4 linked regions of the Notamacropus eugenii genome follow. The protein of the gene in region 2 interacts with the protein of the main gene of each other region in a pairwise test. Links are inferred from orthologs where the notes say so. Each region holds a gene or a part of one and is shown on either strand. Other genes may lie near its edges.

Evidence for each region.
Region 1: the proteins of NUTM1 (region 2) and LMO2 interact in binary tests that used the Homo sapiens proteins (3 or more experiments, as listed by UniProt). The two-hybrid records come from large-scale screens. The link is inferred for Notamacropus eugenii from reciprocal best matches to the Homo sapiens genes NUTM1 and LMO2.
Region 3: the proteins of NUTM1 (region 2) and SAMD4A interact in binary tests that used the Homo sapiens proteins (3 or more experiments, as listed by UniProt). The two-hybrid records come from large-scale screens. The link is inferred for Notamacropus eugenii from reciprocal best matches to the Homo sapiens genes NUTM1 and SAMD4A.
Region 4: the proteins of NUTM1 (region 2) and ZNF277 interact in a two-hybrid assay, tested with the Homo sapiens proteins (2 studies listed by BioGRID). The two-hybrid records come from large-scale screens. The link is inferred for Notamacropus eugenii from reciprocal best matches to the Homo sapiens genes NUTM1 and ZNF277.

The regions. Positions count from the first base shown.
Region 1 is NC_092877.1:17,525,290-17,532,758, reverse strand, and holds the start of LMO2 (rhombotin-2), read right to left. Parts: upstream 3,007-7,469; 5' UTR 2,826-3,006; coding exon 2,785-2,825; intron 1-2,784. UniProt on the Homo sapiens protein: Acts with TAL1/SCL to regulate red blood cell development. Also acts with LDB1 to maintain erythroid precursors in an immature state.
Region 2 is NC_092878.1:17,208,243-17,215,449, reverse strand, and holds the start of NUTM1 (NUT family member 1), read left to right. Parts: upstream 1-4,196; 5' UTR 4,197-4,308; intron 4,309-4,528; exon of another isoform or gene 4,529-4,898; intron 4,899-6,908; 5' UTR 6,909-6,931; coding exon 6,932-7,207. Other genes in the region: NOP10 (H/ACA ribonucleoprotein complex subunit 3), read right to left, coding at 2,240-2,380, 3,718-3,771. UniProt on the Homo sapiens protein: Plays a role in the regulation of proliferation. Regulates TERT expression by modulating SP1 binding to TERT promoter binding sites.
Region 3 is NC_092872.1:333,739,981-333,747,131, reverse strand, and holds the start of SAMD4A (protein Smaug homolog 1), read left to right. Parts: upstream 1-4,130; 5' UTR 4,131-4,268; intron 4,269-4,639; exon of another isoform or gene 4,640-4,906; intron 4,907-5,545; 5' UTR 5,546-5,940; coding exon 5,941-6,136; intron 6,137-7,151. UniProt on the Homo sapiens protein: Acts as a translational repressor of SRE-containing messengers.
Region 4 is NC_092874.1:141,837,210-141,844,517, reverse strand, and holds the start of ZNF277 (zinc finger protein 277), read left to right. Parts: upstream 1-4,291; 5' UTR 4,292-4,483; coding exon 4,484-4,562; intron 4,563-7,308. Other genes in the region: DOCK4 (dedicator of cytokinesis protein 4), read right to left, coding at 3,781-3,817. UniProt on the Homo sapiens protein: Probable transcription factor. Involved in modulation of cellular senescence; represses transcription of the tumor suppressor gene INK4A/ARF, perhaps acting via the Polycomb group (PcG) complex PRC1.

The sequences.
Region 1 (7,469 bases), on a different chromosome or scaffold from region 2:
GGTTGTGGATGATATGGCCACCCAATCAACTATGAAAGAGAAGAATTCATGCTCAGCTGATGCCAACTGACTGGAATGAAAATGGAATTGCCTTTAGATTGCTTACAGAGAGGCAGTGGAGTCCAGTGGATGGAAGAATGGACAGGAGACTCCATGGTTATTACACCATATATTAAATGCCAATCTCTTCAACATTCCAAGCCCCCAGAATGGTAAAAATTTGAAAATGTGTTAATAGTTAAGGTGAGGAGAGAAGGGAAAGGAAGGGAAGGCTAGTTAATAACTGGATGCAAAAAAAAAAAATCTTTCACACTTATTAAATGTCTACTAAGTCCAAGGCAGCCTGGCTTAATGGACAGAGTCAGGAAGGCCTGGGTTCAGGTTGGACAACCTTGGACACATGGGTATTAGTTGTATGACCCTGTGCAAGAAATTTAACCTTTCAGTGCCCCCAGGCAAACCTCTAGGTACCCCTTTGCCTTAAAAGAAAGAGTTTCATAGCTAGGAATTCTTTATGCCAAGGAAATCCTAAGTCTGACAAGAAAAAAAAATTAAAAGCCTGAGGCATTATACATTAGATGGGGATTCAGAATGGAATGGAAAAACTGCCCCTGCCTTCCAGAAGCTTACTTCTAATGAATCGACCCAGCTCAAGCCAGCTCAGAAGGCAATTTTATCTATCTGCGACATGGAGAAGTTGCCACAAATGACCAATCTCCTGTAAGTATGGAGTTAAATATCTTAGAAGAAAGCAGTCTACATTTTCAGATGTGAAGCAAACGCAAGTATTAAGATGGCCTGAGATAAGATAGCCTTGGACAGGATGAGATCTTATCCCGCCCTCTATCTCACAGAGTTCTTACTGTAATTGGTGTTATAATAGCTCATTATCCACAGTCAGAGTTCTGTTCAGTGAGAATTTCAAGGCAATGACTAAGGGGGAGCACCCCCAAATGAATACTTGAAATGCTCCCAGAGTGTTTTCAGGCTTCTACGCAGCAAGTGGCCAATGATGGCTGCTGGCCCCTTTTCTAACGCAGAACCCCAGCTTGAATTTCTTAGATGATTTCTTGAGATTTTCTATTTGTTTGTTTTTAAAATTCTGATCGACAACACCCCGGTGTTGACTGGTCATTCCACAATTGACTTGGACTGAAGTGTCCTTGGAATGGGGGGGGGGGGGGGGGGAAGAATGACCCAGAATATGGAGTTAGTAAGTCAACAACATTTATGGGATAGCAGAGGTGTCAGGTTTTCAACGCCCAAAGTTCCAAAGAGCAAATATCTAATATTTATCCTTGAGGAAACTGATCCCTTCCAATTTATCGGCTAATAAAAGGGCTAGTGAATGAAGAGCTTACTGACCTCAGCCGCATTCAGTATCCACTGACAAACCTAGAGTATTCTGCTATGCAGCCTTTCCTCAAGGTCTCTTGCACACAGCAGGGGCTTAATACATGTTTATGGAGTTAAACTGACCATGACAAGGAAAAAAACCAACTACAGGGTATTTTTGTGCCAAGATGTACTTTGAGATTTTTTTATGAGTCCACAACTCACTAAATGCATCAAGATTTGCCCCCATCTATCCGACCCCTCCAGGGGAATTTATTTAAAGAAAATGATCACAAAGCTCTCTACTTTGGAACTCAGGTCTTGACCTTCCAAACCGCACTGTGATATTTATTCTTCAATTCTATTAGGAGCCCTTCCAGGGTTTTATGAGACTGGCCATGCCCTCTATCTCAGGGTAAGGCCCAGGTAAACAATGTGGAGGAAAATTGAAGGGGGAAATACTACAGGCAGGAAAGTCCAATGATTTCAAACAGCTCCGAGAAATGAAAACGGAAAACAAAAGCCTTCAGAAAGCACAAGTGGATCTCTATTAACTGACCCCTTCAGTGAGGTGTAAGGAATCCTCTCACCAGACTAGCCTGCGTGGGCTTCAAGGGAGGAAAGAAGTCCCCACACCTGGCAGCGAATACATGTTAACATGAGTTTAAGGGAAAGGGTTTTTTCCCCTTCCCACATATCCCCAATGCCGCTTTCTTCCCTCTCCCCAGTCCCCCCACAAGCCCAGCGTTGAAAGCAGGAGCCTTGAAGCCACCCCTGCCTCTCCTGGCACCGCTGGCCTCTCGGTGCCTTTAGACGTCAGACAGCCGGGGAGCCTCCAGCAGCGCAGAGAGCCCACAAGGGCAGCCCAGAGACATTTCTAGCCCCATTCATTCCTCCCAGACCCCCCCTATTCTGCGGCCGGGGAAGGCAGAAGCGAGCTTTGGGACCCTATCGGAATGACACGAGGGAGAAGAAGGAGAGGGGCGGGAGAGGGGCCGGAGCCCCCCCGCTCCCGGAGCCTTCTCGCCCCCTTCCACCTGCAGCCCCAACCCGGCCGAGCTCAGACAAAGTTTGCCCGGCACTCCTCGCTCCGGGAACCAGGACAAGTTGAGCATCGGTCCGTTCTCTACCTTCGGCTGGGCTCGGGCTGAGCCCGGCGGGGCAGTGAGACCCCGGCCAGGACCCCAGCCTCTGCCCCTTTCACCCCACCCAGCCCAGGCATATCTATCCATTCCGCAGGGGGTTCCCATCTCCCCAGGGACGGGGTCACTCAAGCGCCTGGGACCCCCTAGCCCTCCCCCTGGAGGGGTGCCCCGCGCGGCGGGCGATCGCCAGCAACCCCTCTGGCATCAAGCCCTCCCTCCCATCCCCGCGGGGTACAGGAGGTCCTGGGCGCAGCGCCTCCACCCAAGCCCGGCTCGGAGGCTGGACGATGGAGCGGCCACTTACTCGGACGGGTCCAGGCTCTTCCTCTCGATGGCCGAGGACATTGGCGAAGGGGGGGGCGCGCTGCTGGGGTGGGGGTGGGGGCTCCTTTGTCGCGCAGGGCCAGGCAGGCGGCTCGGCACCCCTGGGTCCTGGTCCTCCTCCTCCTGCCCTCCTCGGGCAGCGCGGCTGCTCACCGGCCGGCTCTGCCCTCCGCCCTCAATGACATTCACGGGCTCCCTCGCAGAGCCAGCGGCAGAGCCAAGGCGGGCGAATCCCCAGGGTGGGGGGCCGGGGAGGTCAGCGGGGTGCGGGCCCGGGGATGGGCTGGGATGGGACCTGCCTGGCCGCCGGCCCCCGCGCAGCTCCGCTCTCCTGGCTCCGGCACTCAGCCCTCCATCCCGGGGAGCCTCGCCTGCGCCTGTCCCTGCCGGCCCGGCTGCGGCTGCGGCTGCGGTGCGGCAGGCTCGGCTCGGGGTCCCCCTGCCCTGGCTGCGGCTCCGGCTCCGGCTCCGGTCCGTCCCCGCCGCGAACCTGCGCCCCGGAGTCCCCGCACACCTTGGGCTCGGGCTTTCAGAGCGCGCGTGTGTGATGGGGCGGGCAGGAGGCGGCCGGGGAGGGAGGGGAGAGGAGGAGGAGGGGGCGGGTCCGGGGGCGTGCAGGTCTCCCCCCGTTCTCGCTGAAATGTCTATTTTTTGCTCAGCCTCCCTCTGTCTCTGGTTTCATTTCCTTTTTCCTGATCACGATTCAAATACAATAGAAGGAAATCACATTTAAAGAGACAGCTGCCCGTTTTATTTCTTTTCTTTTCCTTTTTCCCTTTAAAAAAAAAAAAACTGGGCTCCTGGGGGATTAACAACCCAAACAGCAGCGACCTCACGACTGACCTGGCTTCTTAAAGGGGGCAATGCCAGGGCTGGGGGGCTGGCTGGGCGCTGCACTGCCCACCCCTCAGGGGCCGAGGTGGCCTGAACCACCTCAAAACCATCCTTTGGGAATCACCCCTACCCATCTTCCTTTCTCTTAACTAAGGCTGAAAGTAAACAGGCTTGCCCCAGAGAAAAACATTTTGGATGACAAAGGGCAGAAGCAGGACCACTTTTCGAATCACAGGTGTAGAGCTGGGAGGGACCTCAGGGCTACTCTGGTCCAATCCCTTCATTTTATAGAGAGATGGAGCGATTTCTCTCAAAGCCACAAATTAAGTAATAGAGATGGAATCCCAAACCCACCGTGGCAGATCAACTGAGACACTGAGAGATATAATGGAAAGAGCCCGGGCTGTGGAGCCAGAAGTCTTGGCAAGGACAACAAATGTGCAAAGGTGTGGAGGTGGGAGAATTCAGAAAGCCTTAGATCCTAGTTTGGAGTGACAAACATGTCAAACAATCCAGAAGTCTGAAATAGATGAAAATATAATTGGGAGATGTTTAACCAAACAAAAATACAATATGACCTAGATAATGTAAATTTGTGGTTTCCTAAGTCAATGTGTGATCTGCAGGAATCTGTTCTTATGGATAGGACAGTAGGCTGGGTCTGCAAGACTTGGGACCAAATTCTGCCTTTGATGCTTTCTGCATGTGTTACCTTGGGCAAGTGTATTAATTTCCCTGGGCTCCACTTTCCTCTACTGCAAAGTGGCGGGGCTTGGATTTCAGCTGAAGATTTATGATCCTCTGTAAACTATAAAGCCTCCTAAGTGGTCTCTTCATCTAATCTCTTCCTTCTCTGATCCATCTCCCATAATAATTTTTCTAAAGCACAAATCTGACTATGTTACTCCTCACCTCAAGAACTTTAAATGGTCCAATTCATTTTACAGATGAGGAAACTGAGGCAAACAGGGTGGAGTGACTTTCACAGTGTCTGAGGTCAAATTTGAACTCAGGTCTTCCTGACTCCAGGTCTGGCACTCTATCCAGTGGACCAGGCAGGTAGAATGTGAGCCCCTTCAGGGCTGGGGCCTTACAGATGAGGAAACTGAGGCCCAGAGCCAGGATTTGAACTCAGGTCTAAATCCCATGTTTTCCCTATTGAACCACATCCATTTGTGAGCAGAAAAGAAATTCCTGAAGGAACTTGCTATTCCTTTAAAAAATAAGGTTTTTGTCTTGTACCATCAAAGCCTAGTAAGATACTTTGAGCAAAGCAGGAACTTCACAAGTGCTTGCCCTGGATCAAGGAGCTGGAAGATTGCTAAAATCCCCCTTCAAAGAGTCGGTAGATGGTCGCTCTCCTTTTCCTGGGTCTTGAAGCATCCTGTGAGGAAGCTACATTTTAATTTTTTTCAGTCAGAGACAATGTTTATTAAAACACTATTGGGGTGGATGAAATTTTAAGAATCCTTGAATTTGTAATGCTTGTATTGACAAGCAGGGCATGATTTAAGAATCTGAGTCAGGAAGCTACATTTAAACAATAACCTTATATCAATGTGAACTGGTACCATGGTACCCCAAGAGACTGGAGTGACAATGCTGGGCACTGGAAAGAGCATTGGTTTGGGAGTTGGAAGCTCTGGTTTCAAATTCTGCCTCTGGCCCTTACCATCTGCGTTTCAGTTTCGGTCTCAGTTTCCTCATTTGCCAAAGGAGGTTGTTGGACGAATTGGCCCCTGGCACTTTTGGATCTAGGATCCACAGCATTATTTCTAGGCACATAGCTTGCCTGTAAGGAGTATAGGTCACAGGAAGGGCATGGGTTGACCTTAGGAATGGAAGGAAGGTTTGTCCAGATATTGGGGACAGGCCAGGTTAGGCACCCCTAACCTGGGGTTGCAGTGCTAGAGATCCCAGTTCAGCAGAGGTGGGGGGAGAAGGGAGACATTTCAGAGCCTGTGCAGGGCTTTCTCCCCTGCTTGAAAATGCTGAACCGATCTAGTGGTTAAACCTGTTCACTTATAAATAGCCAGTAAATAACTGCAAATACACTGCCCTGCATTAATGATAAGTAACAGCAGGAAGATTCTTTTGCCCTTCCCTCCAGGCATCCAGAAGGAGCCAAATGAGATGTTCTGATTTTCGAGCTATTTTATATTCACCTCCAAAGGTAGAAATAGGAAGGGTGGGAGGAAGGGGCTCATATTTACCAACTACTCCATTTCCACAAAACTCACATTAAACAACCTCATTAAAAAGCACTTATAAACTTTTAAAAAAAGTATTTCTTAAGGGCCCTGGGACAGTGGGGCTTAGAGAGAGCACTGGATCTGCAATAGAATGAGGGCAGTGCTATGCACTAACCCAGTGACCTTGGACCAGGAGCTCCTCATCCCTCATCCCTCATGTGGAAAATGGTCTGGATGATCTCTATAGCTCCTTCCAACTCTGATTTCATGCTTCCTGACTTGGGAGCATAGAGTGATAGACAGAATTAGAGCTGGAAGGGACCTCGAATGCTAACCTGGCCAATTCCATCCATTTACAGATGAGGAAACTGAGGCCCAGAGCCAGGATTTGAACCTAGGTGGTCTTATTTTAAATCCCATGTTATCCCTATCGCACCACATCCATTTGCTACCAGAAAAGAAATTCAGGGAAGAACTTGCTATTCCTCTAAAAAATAATTCTACTGATATCTTTTGTTTTTATATTGCTTTTATTACCTTCTCTTCCCACCCGCAGTGAACCAGCCCTTAATCCAGAGAATTTTTTTAAAAAGATAAAAAAAATCATTACGTGGTACACAGCTTTTTGGTACATATTTTTTTGCTTGCCAACCTTCCTCCATTAGATTATAAGCTCCTTGAGGGCAGGCATTGTCTTTTGCCTCCTTTTCTATCTCCAGCACTTAGCATGGTGCCTGGTACACAGTAGGTGCTTAATAAATTCGTACTGAGAGGAATCAAATGCTTGTTCCTTCAGGGCTGTAAGTCCAGAGACCAGTCCCCACGACCACGTCAAGATTAATCCCTGGACTACGATGCATATATTTTTATCCCTCCTATGATTCTCCGGCCTTCTTACTCTAAGAACTGGGTCCCTGACAATATGAACTAAATGTATTTTCCTGGAGTCAGGAGGCTGCTAAAGGAGCCACTCTATATCCACAGCCTTCACTATATATTTTTAAGTTATTAATATAAGAGACGTTCTCATGCTCAGACACTTCCTTTTAATGGGAAAAGCCTCCCAGACTTTCTCAGGCAGCCTGAATTATGTGATAAATATTTAATGTCACACATAATCACTGTACAATCAGGAAGGAGAGTAAAGAAGGGATAAAATTCATGGGGGTCCAGGTCCTAACTGTTTTATAATTCTGAGAATCGGAGAGATCAGAAAGTCAGTGAGGATGAAAATGAAGGCTTTCACAATTTCCTTAAGAAAATAAATCCTTTTTTTAAAAAAACATGAACAAGCTAAGAATTTTTTAAAGAATTTTATAATAACATATTAATGTTTATTATCTCTGAGAGCAAAGAGTATGTTTGCATTTCTTTGCTTTAATTAAGTCTGATAACAAGCCAGTTATTGTCTTACATGCTCTAATTCTGAATTGGGGCAAGAATCAGTCACAAAAATAAATAGATCTTTGGATTCCAGAATGTAAAATCTTCCAGATGGGAACACCATAGCCAACTTTTTTTTTTCTCACAAAGTTTCTTTTTACCAGTATGCTTTCTGCTGTTGGCTAAGTGTGCAATGAGTGAGAGAGAGAGAGAGAGAGAGAGAGAGAGAGAGAGAGAGAGAGAGAGAGAGAGACAG
Region 2 (7,207 bases):
TTGAGCATGCTTCCCATCATATTGCCTTTACCCCCTCCTCCTTTTTATCCCTAATGCTTAGCACAGTGCCTAGCATATACAAGGAGCCTAATATGTGCTTACTGATTTCCTGAGCAGTTTGGGTCTTTCAGATGGTATGTGACCAGATACCATTGGAGACCTGATAAACATCACCTCAGTACATTCAGCCTAATTTTATTGTGCTGGCATATCCATCATCTTAATATTTGAAGGTTACCAATGAGTTCTAAGTACCTCCTCCCTCATGCCCACTAGTACTATCAACACTTGTTTCTTCACTTATTAGCCGCCCATTGCTCCCTATAGGAATCTATCTCATCAGCACTCTTACCTGAATTATTTCTTCCCTTCCTAGTTCTCACTTCAGAGATCTAATTCAAACATCAATCATGTTTTAGTTGTTGTTCAGTGTTTCAGTCACATTCAACCCCTTGTGACCCCATATAGCATTCCTATACTACCCATGGAGTTTTCTTGGCAAAGATACTGGAGTGGTTTGACATGTCTTTATCTAGCGGATTAAGACAGATTAAGTGACTTGCCCAGGGGTTACACAGCTAGGAAGTGTCTGAAGCTGTATTTGAATTCAAATCTTCCTGATTCTAGGCACAGGACTCTATCCACTGAGCTACCTAGTAACCTCCTATTGTTCAGTAAGTATTAGTCATCACTCTCACCTACATACACTTTCAAGGTTGGGTACTTTTTGAGGAACTGGGAGATTAACAAAGGGTTGGCAGGAGGCAAAACCATTCAATTCAAGAATTTGGATAAATAAGGATAGTCAAAAAACTTGTGTCTTCATATTTTCTGTTGGGGAGTGACTCAAATATTCTTCACTAAGTGCAGAAAAGCAACAAGGTTATCCTTTTGTCTATAAGACGTAAATGCGAAGACACAGTCTGCAAGACTAGGTCAACTTGTTAACCTCATCGTCTTCCTCAAAAGAACCATCTAATGCTTTGACTGTGACAGTGGGTTGTCTTGAGGTCTACAAACAGTGAGAGGAAGATCTCCTGGTTTAATAAAAAAGACTTTAGACCATACCCCATCAGAAAAACAGACAAAGAATTAGGTTTTTCAAAGTATGACTCTACTGCTCCTGGAGGTTTCCTTGTACTCCCTGTGCTTAAGTTTTCTTTAGGTTAACACCTCCCAAAAGACATTTGCACTTGTGGGTTTCCCTACATGCAAAGGGAGAGAGGGAAATAAAGTCAAGAATTTTGGGGTTCTACCACAAAGCCCTAAGGTAAATCTTTGTTGTTTACCGTCAGACATGGATTGATCAGAATATTAAAACTTAATTTTTTAATCTTTCTACTTGTTCAACCCTCAACCTGAAAACATTTGTCACAATGTGTGGCTATTCTCTTAAATTGATCTGAGCTTCAGAGGATTCTTTGGTTAAAATTAATCTGTTCAGAAATTAGGAGAAACTGTGAGACTCCAGAGAATAATAGCCCACACATGCCTGGTGCCTTAAGGTGTACAAAAGGTTTTCCTTAGGACAAAGATAACCTCTTTGGTCACTCAGTCCATTCAGAAGACATCTCTCATGGGCACTGCTGTGTGTGCTATGTTGAATATCAGTGTCACTATAGAGGGGAAGGAATTCAAGACTATCCACAGGACTTAAGAATTTAGAGATAAAAGAAACTAGACCATCTAGTCCAATTTGATTAATTTTTACTGAAGAAAATGAGGACTTTTGAATTCCAATGCAAACATGCTAGTATTCTAAAACAATAATAAAAATGGATATTATTTTTTGATCAGAAAAGGGAATAAGCATTTCTATAGCTACTTCATGCCAGGTGCTGTGTTAAATACCTTTTTACAAATATATTCAGATCATCCTGACTCCAGACCTAGTACTCTATCCACTAAGCCACCTGGCTTCCTCTGATCAATTCAAAGACTTTTCTGCCCCCAATTAAAAAGGAAAAATAGATCTCTAAACCATTTCAGTTTTAATAGCCTACAACATTGATTAAAAAGATATGGCAACTTTAGACTTTCATTTTAGCTTGATTGCTACCAAGTACAGAGAGGAACACAGGCAAACTGCAGCTAGATTCTAAGAAGCAAGTGTACAAAGGGCGTCATTTTAAACTTGTGACAATGGGTTAAGAGAGTCAAAGATGTAAGCTCTTCCTGAATGAGGTCTCCTAGATGTAGGACAAGCTTCTTGTGCCAGAGTCCTGGGTGGTTTGGTAATTCAGAGGACCAATCGTGCTTGCTGGGTCATGAGAACCTTGAATCTCTTCTTGATGGTGATACGGTGTCTGGAGTACTTGTCATCTGGGGAGAATCTGGCTGGGTGCGCTGAACAGGTCTGTTGTCCTGCAGGGTCTGTTTTCTGTTAGGAGAACAAAGAGAACCGAATGTGAATTCTCACATCCAACACTGCCACCAGTCTAGTACAGGCCCCTATTACAGCTATGAAGTGATTTTCCTAAAGTACAGGTTTGATCACATCACCCACCTACTCAAACTTCAGTGTAGCCCTATTGCCTCCAGTATCAAATACAAAACGCATTTTTGGCATTCAAAACTCTTTATAACCTAGCCACTACCTATCATTCCAGTCTTCTTATACCTTACTCCCCCCACCACATATTCTTTGATCCAGTGATACTGACCTCCAGGCTATTTGACAAACTTGGCACTCTTATCTCTTGGCTCCAGGAATTTTCTCTGGTATGCCCCATGGGTGGAACACTACCTACTGAAGTCCCAACTGAAATTCTACTTTCTACAGAAAATCTTCCTCAGCCCCTCTTACTTGCAGTGCCTTCCTCCTTGTTATCTCCTATTTATCCTGTACATAGCTTGCCATATATATATATATACACACATTATAAATATACACACACACACATATATTTGTCTACGTTGTCTCCCTCACCACATCGTAAGCTCTTTGAGGGTACAGCTTACTCTATCCCCAGTGTTTAGCACAGTAGGTTTACTGATTATTTTGGAGCAGAACCAGAGAAAAGGTCGAAAAGACTCGGACAGGCAGGGAGGACGAAGCTGTTTATTTCTCCTCATCCATCCCCTCGCCCCAGCCCCAGCATTACCCTGACCAACAGACCAGACCTGGGCTAAGGACGATTAGGTCCCTAGGCTGTGGGTGCCGAGGGTATGCAGGGACAACCTTTTCCTTCCTTCTGTTTCCCACAGCCTTGTGCATAGTAGGTCTTCATGAAGTCTGCTGACTGTGAGGTGAGATACTCAGACGACAAGGTCTGGGATACACGCTGAATTCCGCGGGATTTAGGGCTGGGCGTGGGGAGCGAGCTCCTTCCAAGCGCAAACCCCACCCAACAGCCCCGAGTCCCCCGGCAGCGCCCCCCGGAATCACCACGGGGGGTCCCCGCTGGAGGGGGGGGGCTCTTCTTTTTACACTCTATGCCGGCGCCAAGCACAGGGTCCGGGCACAACGAAGGCTGCCCGCCTCGGCCTCCGTCCTCCTCCTCTTCTCCCTACACGACCCTCTCGGTACAAGGCAGTGACCCGGGCCGGCCGCTCCCCTCCCTCGGCCTCGGCTCCTTCTTCGTTAAAACAATAACGAGGCCCGACGGAGCCGCCGGTAAGAGCGTCTACACAGGCCGCTGCCCAGCTCGGCCGCGCAGGGCGGGAACGGAGCTCCCTCCTGCGTCTCCACCCCCCAAGTGCGCCTCCTCTCCGTACCTTTAGGGTGTAGACCCGATCCCCTTGCTCGTTGAGGTAATACTGCAGAAACATGGCGGCCAATTCCCTTCGCGAGGCGGGCAGGCCACGGGAAGACTCGGCCACAAGCAGGCTTCCACCTCCGCCTTGGCCCGGGAGCGCGGACCCACCCCCCGACCACGTGTTTGTTCCAGGGACACTTCCGGGAAGTAGAGCCCCCGCGGCATGCTGGGAGGTGTAGTCCCCTCCTCTTCTCCTCCTGCCCTCCTGAAGGGGGAGTCCTCGCCCTGGGATTGCACTAGGGAGCGCATCCCTATGCTGGAAGTTGGGAAGGGAGTGGGCTTCGAATGCCAGGGGAGGCCATTAGCCACAGCCCATTCAGGGATGGAGAGGCCGCTGTTTTTGAACCCAGAACTTGAATATCCCTCCCCTGCATGCAAACTGCAATAAGTAGTCCCATGGAAGAAAAGTAGCGCCCAGAGCCTTAGAGGGGCGAGGAAATCCAGGCGCCGAGGGTGCCCAGGCCGCGGCCAGGCCCTGCCCTCCATCTTGTGCGGCTGAGAACATGGAGGCGCAGGCCAGCTCAGGCCCTGGCTCCCCTTCGCCCAGGGGGTAAGTAGAGGCACGAGGGCCGGGGCGCCCAGGCCTGCGCCGCACCCTCCGGGGGTGCAGAGGCGGCCCGGCCAGGTGCACGGGGAGGGGCGCTGCGCTCGGAGGTGGGAGATGGGGACCTGCACCGCCCACTCACCTGGGAGCCGCGGGGGGGACGAGGCTGGAAGGTGCCCCTCCGCCCCCACCACGCACGTGGAGAGCTGGCGAGGACCCGCCCAGCCTCGTGGCCCAGACGTGGAACTGGGGCCGGCCACGTTGAGTGGCTTGCCCATTCAGGGTCGTCGCCTGAGTTGGGTTCTGAATTCAGATCCTCCCCGCCGAGCTCTCCTCCCCCTCTTCCCTAGAACATTCCTCGGCCCCCTGGCCTGGCCCTCACTCTTCCCTCCCTTCCCCCACTGCGTAGAATGCACGGGTTTCCAGGTTCCAGTTCTGTTTTGATTCAATCTTTTCCCTTCTGCTGCCCTCAATTCTTGGGCAGCTACTGTGACCAGGTGGCCTTCTGGGCCCTGGCCCTGACCCTTGTGCCATCCTGGAGGCTGCTAGGCAGCCCCGATTAGTGCCCAAGCCAGAGGGTCCAGTCCCAGATGGAGGTGAGCGGAGCTGGGGGCCTCTCACAAAGATCCGTGCCCCCTATCCCCTCGAGCCCCAGGGAAAGAAATTTGGGACTGTAGCCCTGGGGATCACCTTTGTGACCTGCACTGTGGGACCCAAGAGGAAGACAGACCAATGAATCCATCCCATGCTCAGGCAACAGACCCGGGGAGGTTGGGGAACCAGTTTGGAGCCTTGGGGTTCACAGAGCCAGCCTCTTCAGAGCTGATTTGGGATGCCTTGGAGGAACTGAGCCAGGGAGCTCTGAGTTGAGAGAGAAGACCCACTAGCAGATTGACTTAAATAGGCAAGAAGCCTCCAGTCACTAGGCATTAGCCACCTTAAAGAAGGACAAAAGGACTTAGTAGAATTAGGTCTAACACTTACGTCCTTCTTTCTGGCAGAGACCCTGTTTTCCCAAGTTTTTGCTTTAGAAATTGATATTTCAGCAGGGATATATTCAATCAGAGAGGACAGAGGGAATTGGATGGAAAAGACTTTTGACAGAAATTTGGCCAGAGTGGTCCTCTTTTGCAGAGGCATGCCCTGAACCTACCAAGAGACTAGGAGGCTTGGGGAGAACCTCAAAACAATACCCCCTCCCCCCTTTCCCCATAGATTAATATAGAATACAATAACTGCCCTAGGGTTGAATACCTCAGTTTCCTTGACACCTAGAAACCTCTGTTTTTGTTTGCCCAGGGAACTTCTGGAACTTGTTTCTTGCATTTATCAGGGGCTGAAGGTTGGGGAGTATTGGGGAGGTGGTTAATACATAGTTATTCAACCACAGCTGGAACATAGGCAGTACTGATTTACTCTGAGTTGTTTCATCTATCCTAGGATCCTAGGCCCTCTAACCCATTTCATCTTGTTCCCTCCCTCTTTCTGTTATGGCTAGCATGTCCTGACCCTTCCCTGCTTGTCATCAGAGTGATGAGCTTGTCTACCATCATCCATGACTCCATGATCTTATTTTATGGTCAGGGAGGTAAACTGTGTGTGAGTTTCACGTCGTTTGTGGGATAAGGTGGATTGTTAAATTCTTGTTATTATTAAATGGAGGCATCTCCTTAGAAGGCATCTTATGTATTATATGTGGTGTTATATTTTCTTGTATTCCCAGTGCCTTGTGCCTCGGAAGTGCTCAATAATTACTTGTTAATTTGAAAGCCCTTGTCCTTTCCATTACTGAAGGAATAACCTAGGTAAACGATAGAGAGAATCAGAATCAGTGTTAGGAGCAACTGCCACACTTCACGGGGTCTATCTGCTAGCTCTCTGAAGCGTAAGAAAACCTGTCATTTTTATCCACCTAGTCTACTACTACCTCCTTTTGACTAGTTTTTACTCCTCTGGAGTGGAGAATCTCTAGGAATCTGTATGGGCTTCCCCTCCTTACCTTAAGAAGATTCTAGAAGGAAGATTATTAAGTGGCTAGAGATGGCTGGGAGTAGGGGGAATGTCTCTGATTTTACTTCTATAAGCAGAAATGAATGAGTTGTTAATTGGAATGAGAGTTTTAGGGATAAATTGGTTATGGCTATAGAACTTTTTTTATTGTACTTTTAGATGAGAAGAGGAATAGGGGACTTAAAAAAAGGAGCAAGGAGATGAAAAAGGGGAGGAATGAAGAAACAGGGCCAGGAACCTCTCTCAATTGATCTCTAATTTAGGAACACCAAAGGAGCCTAGGGAAGGGCCAGATTCTAGATTCTCCCATCAGATGCTCAACCTCCTAGTTGGGGACATACTTTGAGTTGTTATCTCCTGCATGTCAACCCTGTTCTATGTCTTGGGACACCACACAGTGGAGGTAGACTTCTAAGAATATCCTTAAAGAAGTTGTCAGTGATATTGTAGACATTTTTTTTTATTGGACTGGTAAAGATGTTTACCCTATGAATTAGGGGACCAGCTCTGCAATGTATCAGGGTCCAAAGGGTCCCCAGATGTTGAGGCCTCTAGCTGCCTCATTTCCTGCTCCAATCCCTCCTTTTTCTCAACAGCTCCTTCATTGTCTGGACCTGAAATGACCCCGAAGCCTGGCCCTGTCCCACCCTGTACTTCACTTCCATTACCCCCACCCCCTCCAGGACCATCAGACAAGCCTCTCTGGGAGCCACCACCTCAAACTCCCATTTCTTCACCATTCCCACCGGGTAGCCCCCTGGTTCTGTCTGCTTTCCCTAGTACATTGCTGGTGACAGGGGATGGGGGAGCAGGCCCTAGCGGGGGTGGGGCTGGTAAGGTCATCGTCAAAGTCAAGACAGAGGGGGGCCCATCTGAAGCCCCCCGAACTCAGACC
Region 3 (7,151 bases), on a different chromosome or scaffold from region 2:
TGTTCCACCCTTGCTTATTGAAAAGGAGTAGTAGAAGAAAAGAGCAACGAGAGAGCTAAGATGGAAGTGAAAAATATGCTAAAAATAAGCCACGATAACCTATCAGAAGATCTGGACTGATTCTGTCAGGCCCCAGAAGGAGCAGCCAAAACAGAGATCTGCAGCTCCAGGGTAGTAAGAAGTGGCCCGATGGGACCAGATCAATGAGGTGTCTATTACTTCCTAGCAAAGCTACATAGTCCTTTTCTATCTGTCAAGTATTTTAGCCTGAATGTTCTTTATCTGCTATCTTCCATTTTACGTAACTTACCTACTATAAAATCCTGTTGGCCAGCAGAAATGTAAAGCAACAACGTTTATATTATTTAAATACAAATATAGAGAAGCTAAGGGAAAGAATATTCCTTGTTTTAGAGGGGAAAAGACGTGATTATCAGGATCAAGATGGAAGAGTGAGACTAGACTGTACAAGCCTGGCATATAAATTTAGGATTCAGCTACTCCTAGAAACAAATCATGACCAGGTGAGAGCTGGCTGCTAAGAGGAGCAAAGCCTGGCTAACTTCATTTTCATTTTTGAACTACTGACAGTCATTCTTGCTAGGCTGAGTTTAAAAAGAATGCAATGTCCCCTGAGGAAGGAGGAAACTAAAGTCACTCCTCTCCTTCCTTGTCCTGAAATGGAGACACCTGTCACCATTAACCCCCCCCTCCACTGCCTGGGGTATGCCTTGCTTATTAGTGCCACCTACTGTCTCTATGTAGAGACTTCTCTGGTAGACAGTCAGTCAGTCAGTCTCTGTCTCTGTCTGTCTCTGTCTCTTTCTCTCCCCCCACCTACCCACCCACTCACCCTCACTTCTGCCGGCTCTAGTGGCAGCCTCTGTCTCCAGTCAGGAAAAACCCATCACCCACAAAACATCCCATTCCACTTTGGGATGTTTCTAATGATTAGGAAGTTTGTCATGACACCAAGCCTAAAATATGTTTGTTTGTTTTTTTCACCTTCCACTTGTTACTTCTAATTCCCCCTGTGCGGCCAAGCAGAATGAATCTAATACTTCTTTTGTGTACTTTCAAATATTTGTTTGACTTAATGATCATATCCTCCCTAGAGTCTTTTCTTCTCCAAATTAAACATCTTCAGTTGCTTTAACCAAAGCTCATATGTCATTACTTTGAGACCCTTCATCATTCTTGGATCCTCCTCTTGGATAAATGGCCCACTTATGAATGTCCTTCAACTTTAAAGTCTGATCAGGAAAAAGTATAGTGGGACTATCACCTCCTTATTCCTGGAAATAAATGTATTTTAATGAAGAACAGGGTTAAACCTTCAAATCTTTTTTACAGACAAACTGCATTCTTACCATTACTATTTCCCATCTTGTACCTGCAAAACTGATTTTTTGAGTTAAGACTTTATCTTTACTTAATTTCATACTCTTAGATTCAGCTCAATGTTCTACCTTTCAAGAACTTTTGTCATCCTGTCATTGTTAGCTATTCCTTCTAGTTCTGTGTCATTGGTCAATTTGATGAGCATGCCACTTACATCTTTAAGTCACTGATTTAAAAAAAGTCAAAGAGGGCTAAGAACAGATCTTGGGATGCTTCGCTGGAGACCTCCTACCACCCTGTGGGTTCACCCTTTGTTGTCGAAGAAGATCATGCCATCAGAGAAATGATGACATGACTTCCACTTCACTTTGTTTTGAGTGAGGGAGGGCTGTGCAGGTCCCCAGCCTCACTTCTCCTCCAGAGCCATCTGAATCCAGTGACCAGATATTCATCAGGATGATTGGAGATGAACCAGGATGAGGCATTTGGGGTTAAGTGACTTGCCCAAGGTCACACAGCTAGTGAGTGTCAAGTGTCTGAGGTGAGATTTGAACTCAGGTACTCCTGACTCCTGCACTGGTGCTTTATCCACTCCACCACCTAGCTGCATTTAACACCAGTGACTACTTTTGGGGTCTCGCTATTGACCAGTTCTGAATCCATCTAATTTATTAAGGTCTGGCCTCTCCATATTTTCCATAAGAATAGTAGGAGATACATTATCAGATATTTTGTTACAATTTTGTTATCTATTTTATTATTAACCTCTTCATAAAGTGAAATAAGGTTAATCTGGGATGATGTGCTCTTGATGAAGCTCTGTTGCTGTTGTGTTTTGTAACCACTATTTTCTTTTTGGAGATATTTACTATTTCTTTAATGATCCTTTTATTCTAGAATCTCCCCAAAGTCAAGCTCTTCTGTTCTCTGGTTCAGCCATACATTTTCCCCTTTCTCATTTTCTGTGACCTTTATAATACAACCATTATTAGTGTAGAATAGCTCATTTGGGCCAGGTAACTTGAATTTACTAACAGTGAGTACGCATTCTCTCTGGGTACCAACTCTCTGTTATCCATTTTCTACCCCTGCATTTTCGGTTCAAACCCCTTAGCAGAGAAAACCTAACAAAACAAGAATTTTGCCCTTCTGTGTTCTCCGTTGTCAATTAACCATCCACTTCAAGCAGTTGTCCTATATTTTCTTTGCTCCTTCTCTTCCTCCCCAAAGCTCAAAATAGAACAAAACAAAACAAAAAAGCAAAAACCCTTTCTATTATTCAAATCAGGCCCAAGCCTTGAGAATCAGGGAACTGAGGGAACCACTTTGGTGAGCTGGTGGGGGGGTAGGGGACCGCAGAGGGGTGGAATCCCTCTAGGCACTGTAGCACCTAGGGTTTCATGCCCTTATCTCTGTCAACCTCACCATTTCCCTCCATCTGAATGAACACCACTGTACCTTCCCACGACCAACGTCACCAGTGGAGAGGATCAGCAGAAGTAGGTGAAGTTTAACCCCTGGACAAACTCCCCAGTTCTAGCCGAAGAGTTAACTCAGCAACCATGGGACTAGGACGGTGGAAGGCGAATGCCCTGCCTAAAAATACAAACAACGTTCTGGCAATGGCCAGGAATAAGTCTCTGCCACCGCAGCAGAAAAGTTTCTGTCCTAAGTGTAAAGGACTTTTTAAAAGCCCCAATTCCCTAACCGTCTGTTTATACAGCAAGATCTGGAGAAAACTCAGTCCTTGCTCTCATCTCTGGTGGATAAGTACACATACTGCATGAGTATATACACAGCCTGCTCTGTGTGTTCGCGCCTAGCTATACTTCACAGCGTGTAGCCCGCAGGGAGGACAAGTATTCTCCAGACAGCACAACCCCGTCAAGTTTTCTTTTCTCTTCGCTCTTACCCAGCCACTCTCCAATCCCAGATCCTCCCTCTAGCTCCAAGAAGTGTCTTTCTCAGCCCCCTTTTCCTCCTCCTCTTCCCCCTTTCCCCTTCCCTCCTCTCCATTCTCTCAGGCTGAAGAGTTAAGGAAAAGCACCCTCTGGCTACACGTTTTTTAAAACTCACTTTGGAGAATGAAATTCTGAGCTACGGGTGTGGTGAGGTGTACAAGGGGTTGCAGAAATGAGACCCCGGATTCTCATTCTCATCCTCATTCTCTCTCTCATACACACACAGACACACAGACACAGACACACACACACACACACACACAGACACACACACACACACACAGACACACACACACACACACACACACACACACACACACACACACACACACATTCTCTCAATCTTTGCCTCTCTCCTTGGCTCCGTGGTCCCTGTAACCCAGCCCATCCAGAATTTCGGAGGAGGCCGGGGAAAGGAATTTGCCCAGCCCCACCCCCTTCCCCCTCGACTCCGCCAAACTTCTTTCCCTTTGCTCCTCAGTTCCTCCAACCTGACCCCTCTTTCCCATCGAGCTCCTCCCCTAGCCACACTTAGGGATCCTCCTCCTCCACCCCCCTCCTTCAGTTAGGACTCCCCCCCACCCCGCACCTCCTCCTCCTTTTCCCTCCCCGCGGGGTTGCTCTCCCCCCACTTTGGCTCTTGCTGCCAAAGCCATGATGTAATGGTGTATGTTAATCAGTAGCATGTGGGGAGCTCGACTCGGTCTCGGTCGGCCCCAGTCCTCACTGAGCTGACACAGGAGGCGGCATCAGTGGCTGCAGCGGCGGCAGCCGAGACACTGCCGCAACCACCACCACCACCCCCGCCGCCGATCCCCCCAGCCTTCGGGGAACGCGCCCCCGGACCTGGCCTCCGGGATGGCCCACGTCCGCGGGCCTGTGGGTTCCCCACTCCTCTGAGAACTGCCGCCTGCCCTGGAACCCGCGGTGCGGGGGCGCCAGCCCGCAGCGATGAGCGGGGCCGAGGTGAGTGACCCTTCCCCTGCAGCCCCACACACTTCTGGGGGCCGGGAGCGGGTTCTCTTGGCCTCTCCCCAGCCCAGGGTTTCCTCTTCTGCTTGGGAAGTTTGGAAAGCCAGGCTGAGAGAGGGTGGGTGAGGTATGGGGATGCTTGAAGCCTGAATCGCTCTGAGAGTTGGGTCTAGAGTCTGGGCACATCTCTTCCCACTTCTAGATCCAATCCCTGAAACCTGGGGAAGATGAGGAGGGAGAGGGAGGGAAGGTGGGGGGGTAGGACGGGAAAGCCACAGGAACCTAACTTTTTTTTCTTTGCGATCAACGTTTGGGGGCGTGTGCTGGCAGCGCGGAACCGCATTCTCCGCGAAGCTCCCTAGTCTGCTAATGAAACCATTCCGGGCTTGGGCTGCCAAGCAGCCGCCGGGGTCTTTAGACGGGAAGTCGTTTCGGGGGTGCCAGTGGGGGGGATGTGGACAGCCTCTGTGCCAGACTGACCCACCCTGCCGCGAGAAGGAGGGGGGGAAAAGGGTGTTAAAATGCTTTTATTTTTATTTTAATATCATACCAGGCTTTTTGTAAAGGGAAGACAGAAGAGGGGAGGGGAGTCGGAGGAGGAAGGGAAGTCTGGAGGCTCTTTGCTCCTGCAGGTTGTGTGTTAAGGCTTGGGTGGGAAGAGTTTATTTTTGTCTTTCGCTGCTGCTGCTCAAGGCCTAGATTCAAAGGGGAGTCTGGTGGTTGGAGATGCTGCTTGGTGTAGATGGAGCGGCAGCCGCTAGGCTGCTTCTCCGACAGGAGGAGGAGGAAAAAGAAGGAAGGAAGGAAGGAACCTGGATTCTTGAGGGCCCCCTCCCCCTCGGCGTATTGTAAGTTTTCTTTGCTTGAATGATCTGTTGCAGTTAGCGGTATCAGGTACAGTGCCTAAAGTCCTCAGGGAAGAGAGACCCGTATGCAGCAGGAGGAGGCAGTAGCCGCAGCCGCAGCAGCAGCCACAGGAAACTGCTGGGGTCTCCTCCTGCACCTTAGGAGGGAGGTTTCTTTAAATCTCTCCCCTGGAAACCTCGTTATCTGCCTCTCTCAGTGGTGCATGCGAGGAGGACGGCTGTTATTTTTAATACTCTACTCTTCTACACATCTTTCCCCCGTCCCCTCCCCCCATACACTACTCAGATTATTGACCTGAAATCTCCTAAAATACGTTGTGAAGCGGGAGGCTACCCTGCTGCTGAATCATGCCGTTCCCCTTATCTCCGCCGGTGTCTAAGCGCAGCCAATTTCTCTCTTTCCAGTTGTGAACCTGGGAATTCGGGTGTGAAGAAGGGTCTGACCTGTTGCCCGAAGGAAAAAAGAGCTGGAAACGTCTGAAACCCCTGGCTGTGCGAGAGGAAAAAAAAGAGCTCTTACAGTTGTGTGCCTTGTGGAGATTTTTTCCATATTAAAAAAAATTCCTATGCTACCGTCATCTTCGTTGAGGAAATCAGCAAGAATCACTGAAACGTAACTGAAAGAAGAAGGCAACATAATCTGCACAAATCCATGCACCAAAGGCGATTTTTTTCTAAAAGGACGTTATTCTGGTGACCGCTGAGCTTGCAACTCCAGTAAACTTTGGGGTGGGGGCAGGGTGGGAGGGGGATTTGTATTCGTTTCCCCCCTCTCTCCCACTGAGGCTTCCCCCCTAATCATGATGTTTCGAGATCAGGTCGGAGTGCTGGCAGGTTGGTTTAAAGGCTGGAATGAATGCGAGCAGACTGTTGCTTTGCTGTCCCTGTTAAAGCGGGTGAGCAGGACCCAGGCTCGCTTTCTTCAGATCTGCCTGGAGCATTCCCTGGCGGACTGCACTGAGCTTCACATTCTTGAAGGAGAAGCCAATAACCCCGGTAAGTTGGCTGCAACCAATCCATTTGGACTACCAACTTGTGCTCTTATCTCTCTCCTCCCTCTACCCCCTGTCCCCGACCACAGAAGCCAGGGGACAAGAAATGCACTAGCCCACGGTTTCTTTCTGTATAGGCTTTCCCACCCCCACCCCTTTTCCCTTGATGCTGTTGACTTACCTCAACTTGATTTTTTTTGCACAGTGAACTACTTCAGTCCATTTGGTGTTGTAACTGGGGTACTACATGCTAACTGTGGTAGCATGAATGATTGATTTTTCTTTCATGCAGTTTCCTATGAAATAAGTAAGTCAGATCACGTAGAGTCTGGGTTTTCTGGGTTTCTTTTGGACAATGTGACTTGCTTGATTTAAGCAACGTAGGAAGAAGACCAGTATGGCCCCTAGGAAGTCATTATGTTGCTTCGATATGATCTATAAAGAACAGATGATAAAAATAAAATTCTTATTTTCATTCCTTCACTCCCTCACTTCCCTTCCCCCACTTCCCCCCCCCCCCCCCCCCCCCCCAGTTCTGTCTTAGAATTCTGTGTTAGAGTAACTTGTTCTCTGGACGTGACACCATATACTATTAAAAGGCTGGTGAATGGAATGTGCACATGATATTGTTATAAGTGGCCTTAATCACCACAGGGTACCTGAAGGTATTCCCTCACTTGGGGAAGTCCAGCCCAGCTGGAAGTCTCACCTCTCACCTCCCCCACCCCACTTACATTTTTAAGTGTTTCATAAACTATTTCTGGAGCCCTATTAGCCTCATTCCTGTAACTGAAGCTTTTGTTACACAGCCTGCCCTGATATGAGCAACAAATTTACCTTAAGTAATCTACGTAGAATTTACACAGATATACAATTCATTTATATTTGTGTTTTTAGAAAGAAACTACTAAAAACTACATTTTCAGATTTTTTTCCATTCCATACTTGTTTGAAACCTATTCAAGAATTGCAGATCGCTAATATAGTTGGAAAATCCAGTGCCTTTTCTTTTTGCCAGC
Region 4 (7,308 bases), on a different chromosome or scaffold from region 2:
GCATGCCAGAATGTCTCTTCATTGTAGGCACCACACAACTATCTGCTGAAGGAATCTTGGAGCAGTTACGCCTTCAATGCTCTGAACTATTTCTGTGGGCAATCCCCACTTACACAGAGAAGGAAGGTGACCTCTTTATCTTTGTAAAATTATTCAGTCTGCAGGAAATCAGAAAACATTTTGGGGGCGGGGGGAATCTGCTTTACTCACCATCAGAGGAACTCCTCTTGAAAGGATCAGACAGACTGTGAAAGTGAGCAACTGCCACCTGGATCCTAGCAGTCCCTCCAAGAAACCGGGTGGCTTTTGCTTAGCTCTTCATCTTGTTTAAAAATCATTTTTGGCATGCCATGGAAAAAGTATATACCACACAGCAAGCTTTGCTCTTCTTTCTAAAGGGTACATGTGATTAGTAGCTTTAAAACTGTAAAGCTACCGCTTATGGGAATGTAAATCATCACGTAGTCTGACTCCTTCATTTTACAGGTAAAGAGACTGAGGCCCAACAAAGTTACTGACTTGTGCCTAAAGACACAAAGCAAGTCAATGGTAAATTCAGAACTGGAACCCTGGTCTCTGGCATTTGAGTCCAATGCCTCTTTTCTACTCTGCTAATTGATGGAGTCAATAACCAGAATTGTTCAACTTAAAAAAAAAATCCTCATTTCATCATGAACAACTTTTTTTAATCACACTAAAAAGAAAAGAGTTATATTATGCTCAGAAATTTAGTTTGATTCTTATCTTTCATAATTTTCCAATTTTAGACAATTCAGGCCCATGACAAAACATAGATGGTTTTGACATAAAGGTGGGTTATCACTTAAACACTATAGGCTATTCTATTGCCCAGGTGAGAGAATTTACATTTTCAAACCACTTTGAAATATATATATGTAATATATATACACACACATACATATATGTACATCTACATATACACACATGTACATGTATACATATACTATTTATTATAAAAGAAAATGAAGAATATGCATTATATTTGTGAAATGTTAACACAGATATATTAAAGACACAAATATTTTCTCTGTGGACACACACGGATCACTACAGATTTTTTAAAAAGTCCCACAGTAAAAGTGGTAGATTTTCAGAGGTATCTGAACACTTCAGGTTGGAAAGGATCAATTTATTTCAATTACTGATGAAACTGAACTGAACCAAGAATTGCAAATCTTTGATAACCACAAAATACTCTTCCCTGGTATTCATAAGAACTACAGAAAACACACACATTTATATCAAGGGTAAAAGGGAGGAGGAGGAGAAGAAGCCTTGAAGCACTAACAGCCACAAATAGTTCTCTCCATGGTGAAGAAAGAAGCTCCGCATGCAGGAGTATCCTAGCAAATTTTTCTCAGTACTCCAAAAAATTCTAACAGATGGATGGTGAACAACTAAGCAACCACAAGCCAAATGCTTGAAAAATAATAAAAAAAAATATTATTAGCCCTCAAAGGTTTGCAGTATAAATGACAAAGGGAAGCAATAATTCTGGCAAGAAATACTCATCTTTCCACTCTCCCCCTTCCTTTGCCACCTTTTCCCACTCAGATAAGTGGCCTCCAAATCACAACTACCACCACACAAATCTGAGTGATTTTGCTGCAGCTTGAAATACTTCACTGATAATATCCTGTTTGCTACTCCAGCAAACCCTAGAGTGGTTTATCAGACCCTGCCCACAGCAGTAAAGAAAAGAGACTAGGGGAGCTAATCGATACTAGCAACCCAGCTGTGACCTGGCACATAGAAAAATAAAAGAAAATGAATCCCATCGATAATCTCTATAATTTAACACTTGGAAGAAAGCAACATCTGGGATCAACTCCAAATGGGACGGGGTTGCCCTGAATGGGTCTTGGCTTCTTGCACTAATTGTTAAACCCGGTGCAATGAGATGATACTGAGATGATACCCTCTTCCTCAAGCTCAGAAACAAAGACAAACTCTTTAGGCTTCTACCTAAATATGGAAAAAATATAAAAGCGACCAAGGAAAAGAAGGAAGCTGGAAAGAATGGCTGTCAAACATACTCCAAACACATCTAGAAGAAACTATTGTCTTGCTAACCACTCAACACAGAACGAAGGCTTTTAGTAGGTCAAGCAAAAGATGAGCTGACTTTGTTTAATCACTTCACGAAGTCAGTTCAGAGGACTCCACGGTCTCTCCTCCAGGCAAAATTGGGGAGAGAGGGTCCCCTGTGAAAATGACTCCCACAAACAGCACTTTGATCTTCCTTTTTTAATTGCAGGAAACGAATGAGATGGGAAGAAAGCAGATTTTCCACAGTATCCACATCTACAGAGATTTGCCCTTTTCAAAAGCACTGCCTAGCGGCAGTAGATGGCAGATAAGAAATAAGGGGATAATAGATAAATTCTATAAATGTTCTGATCTCAGAGAGACCTTTAGGGCCGTGGTTAGCCCGTTCGTGTTTCAGGACCTTCACTGAAAGCCCCATTTCTTTCTTTTCTTTTTTTTAAGGCAAATCCTGAAAACCCAGAAAGAGGGGAGGGGGATGGGGAGAAGGGAAGAACCCAGTTTAATTCAAACAAGAACGGGAACTCTAGTCCGTATTAAATGGGAGGAGGGAGAGGAAGGGAGAATCCAGCGTTCATCAGTCAACATTAATGTCCTTTGTTGTTCACCTTTGCACAGAGGAGCGAGTGTTACACTGTTTTCCTTTTTCTCAAAACGCCAAAGTCAGACAGGTCTTTCCTTAAAACGTACCCTCCTGCCTCCGTCTGACCCACGGCTATCCCTAGCTCACTCCCCAGAACTGAAAATGCACTTTCCAACTGACCCCCCACCAAAAAAACCCCACCCCACGCCCGGCTCCCCGCAGTGACCCCAGGATCGGACCGGACGCAGTAGCCAGAAGTGGAAACATAACCAAGTCCTCGTTCCTTTTCAAATGACAAGGAAAGGGAGCAATTCAACGGAAATTCACAGAGAAACTCCCCCAACCCTCAAAAACACTTAATACAAAATACAAACAAAAATGTGCGGGGGGGGGGGGGTGGAGAGGAGAAGGGCGTTGGGGAAGGAAATAGAACGGGCTCAGTCTCCTGTCAGAATTGTCCTTTGTAGATTATTGCACATTTTGCACTCTGGGGATGTTCATGCGAGCCAGAAGGAAGGGTTTGCCTTCCCTTTCTGGTTTTGTTGGTTTCGGGTTTTTTCCCCCTCCCCTTCCTCTCTTCTCTGTCCCCAACCCTCCTCCCGGGAAATCTCTGCAGCTGATTGTCGTTTCAAATCCCGGGGTTTGGGGGGGAAGGGACGAAGGGGAAGACTAGGAAAGGGGCTCGCCCTTTCCCTTGCAACTTGACACACACATGCACCCATCTCCACTTCCAAACTCCAAAGACGGAGATGAGAGTCGGCAACGCAGAACTAAGGGATCCGTTCCCTTTGCATCGGCGGCTGATCGCTAGCCAGCGGATCTGAAAGCGGAGGGTGGTAGAGAAGGGGGTGGGTGCGTAGGGTTTCGTTGGGGCGGGCGCGAGCCCCCAATCCAGCGAGTTGGGGGGGGCAAGGATGTGTGTATCTCTCTCCGCTTTGAGATGATCTGCATAGCACAGCACCGTATCAAGGCAAAAGAGGGAAACAAACGGGGGACTATATTATGCCCCAACTATCCATTTCCAGCCTCACCTAAATATAGGGGGCAAATAACAAGAGCAGAAAAGAAGAGAAAGAGGAAAATTGCAAGCCCAGGAGAGAGAATAAAAGTTCGCCCGGAGAAAGACTCACCTACGCCGTATTTCTCGTGCTCTGTAGGTATCCACATGGCTGAAGGAAGATTCTGTTGTCCCTCTCTCACACCTCCTCTCAGGAGCTCAAAACAATAAACCAGAAGCCAGAGTAGCAGCAGCAGCGAAAGGGCTAAAGGCAGCTCAGCGCTCTCAGTCCTTGGGCAAGAGGGAGAAGGGTCAGGACTGGAGCCTGCCCAAGCGCTGACAGTGCGCGGGCTGTGCTCCGACTGATGCTAAGGCTGCTCGGGCTGCTGGAGCTGGGGCCGCTGCTGCACCTCTCCGCAGCTTCCTCAGACGCGCTCCCGGGGATTCAGACGCGCAGGCATTGTTCTGATTCACTGAACTAAGCGAACACGCCGGGGCACTCTCGGGCGCACCGCCCCCACTGCTTTCCTCCACTCCACTCCCCCCCTCTTCCCTCCTCCCTCCTCTGCACTCCCCGATGCATGGTGGGAAGTGTAGTTTTCCACCTCACTCCAGAGAAGGGACAGGACACCCTAGCGATTGGGGTGGGGCTTATGGAGGTCCCTCCCATTCTCCCTTGTTCGGTTCTGCTGAATAAGAGCTGTTGGTGGCTACGTTGGGGAGTGGAGGAAAGGCTGAAGTTGGGGGTGGGGTGAGGTGAGGTGTAAACTGAGTCCTAGGTTCTCATTGGAACTAGACCCCACCTCCTCATTTCTCTCCCCCACTCTCCCAGCGGAATGGCTTCTCTTGGGATTGAGGGGGCTGCAGCTGGAGAAGATGGTGCTGGCGGCAGCAGCAGCAAATTCAGTGATGCAGGTGAGTTTGGTGGCCCCCTTGAAGCAGGGCCCTTGGTGCCAGTGGCATTAGTTTTCTTTCCTGCTTTCTATTCCAGTCGTCCCTGCTGCAACACAAACCCTCAAGTCAAACTGACTTGTAGGAGCTAGCCAGAGTCTTAAAGGCTGAGCTTTCTGCAGCCACGTGTGCCCTGGGAATGGCGCTGTGAACCCGGGGAGGGCAGGAGGCGGAGGCGCATATTTGGCAGCTGTTTGCCTTAGAGCGGGTGGAGAAAGGAGGAGGAAATGCCACCTCCCCTCCCCGAGCTGTTAGGGAACCCTCTCTTGGTTCTTCCCTTCCGGTTCTGAAGTAGCTCCCCACTTGAGCTCCTACCCGTTCAATCGGTTTCGGTTGGGTGGATTGATTTGGGGGCGTGTATGTATGGCATTGCAAATTAGCAAGTCTTTCCACCTCCATTTCCTCAGCTTAGACTCTTTTGGGCTTTGTTTGGCATCAAGAAACTTGTTTTATGTGCGTCTTGCGTCTTCCAGGTATGAAATGTTCGTTCCTGGACATTTGTGTAGCGGTATCTTACAGTTTTCTTCCGCACTGGAGGAAGGCTGTGTCCGCTGACCTCTCTGGGATCTCTGCCAAAGTCTCCTTGAGGGTAGAATACTGTTGCTGGAACTCTTGTCAGGGAACCGAGGACATGAAGGAAGGGAAGAGGAGGAGAGAGCTTGCACTCAGCTTCAGAGACGATTCAGAGGTCTCTGGACTTTTCAGTAACACTCTTTTGGGTTGCGTTTTGGCCATCACAGTTACTTTTACCAGTCTATGGGTTTGGGTTCTCTGGAGGACTTTTGTATGGTGTCAGAAATAAGAAACTAAACTTTGAGGGAGGAGCACCCTGGGTCAGAAACTAAATTTGGGGGAGGAGCCTCTTTGGTGAGCAACCAACTTTGGGGGAGGAGCCTCCAGGATGTGTCTTTTCTGGGATTTTAGGTGCAGGATCATAAGGAAGCTCAGCCTCCTCGTTTTACTGATGGAGAAACAACAATCACAAAAATAGGAGCGGGGAGAGAGTTAAATTACTTTCCCGGGGGTGCACAAGTAGTGAGTGACCGCTCCAGTTCTGCCTTCTGCCCACCCGTCTCAGATTGCTTTCCTACTTCCCGGATTCTTCCTCCTTTCCCCTGAAGGAAAAGAGGGCCTCCGGGCAAAGAATGCAGAGAGCTGTAATAGTGATTTGGAAGTTGCCATTTCAGGAGGGGAAAAAAGTTATTTTTGCCCTAGATAAGGTTTGATACACCTTTGCTGAAGGCTTTTTTGTTTTGTTTTTTGCTTTTACAGTTAATAATTGTGTGGTCAAAAACTGAGTCTCATCACCACAAAGTTAAAAGTGCTGTTACCAGCCACTTCTATTATCAAAATTCCCTAACCCTGAAATTATTTTTTAAAAGTACCTCTGTCAGTGCTATATATCTTAAACTGGCTGCTGAGTCAAATGTTTATCCACCTCCACATCCTAGACAGTTAATTATTGAGTTATTTGGTATTCATTTTGGTGGACCAAGTGCTTGACCCAACTCTCATTTGGGGGAAACATATAATTAAAGTTCTCTAGATGCTAGCATCTCAAGAAGGTTATTTAAGACCCAGAGATGTCACATTTAGAATTGTCAACAAGCTGACTGTTGAAGAGAAAATGATTCCTAAACTTTCACATTTGTTTCTACAAGAGGTTCTTAAAATGGAAATGGACCAAAATGAGAAAGCTGAATGGAAAAGTGACTCTCAGTTTTTTGTTTTAATGCCATTAGAAATTCCTGAAATCAGCATTAAAGGAGGGGACAGTGTAATCTAATGAAGGACTACCAAAAGATGGACTTGAAACCATTCGCTGAAGACAGTTTACAAAATTACAGGAAATGGCTTCCTAGCTCAGACCAGCCGTTATCTCTCTTGGAATGGACAAAGGGATGTTATAAAGAGAAGCCACCGTGGAGTGCATAGAATGCTGGACTTAGAATCAGGAAAACCTGAAAGGCATTTATTCTGTGACTCTAACTAGTCATTTAACCTCTTAGCCACAGTTTCTTCATCTATGAAATAGGAACAATAATTACTAGCTTAAAGGCTGTTGTGGGGTCAGATGAGATAATATGTGTAAACAAGGCACAAATCTTATTACATCATAAATGTCACATTTATATTAGTTGACTTTCATAACATCGCAGCACACATTTAGCATTCTACCCCCAAACTCCCCTTTAGTAACCCATTCATAACATTACATAAAATTTTTCCAGACTACTTCAAAACTGTAAATTACTATAAAATTTAAAAGAGCATTGTTATCAAACACATTTCTATTTTTCATCAGTAAAAACTCAGCCTAATAAAACATGCATTTTTTGTTTTTTGCCTGTTGTGTATTGTAGTATTCCCACTGAATTGATCTAAAACAACTCCTTCAAGATATGCCTTCTAATTCTAAAGTAGCATGCAATAATGGAAAGAATACTGAATCTGGGAACCAGAAAGCCTTGCTTTGAGCTCTGGCTCCACCTCTTACTAACTTCGTGACCTGGAGTAACTTAGTCAATAAACATTTATTAAGCACCTACTAAGTGCCAGATGTTCTATTAAACCCTGGGGCCGCAAAGAAAAGCAAAAGACAATCTTTGCCCTCTAGGAGCTCATAATCTATTAGGGACAACATTATGCGAGCAACTATGTACAAGCAAGTAAATTATGGGGAACTGCTCTGAGACTCCATTTAATTATC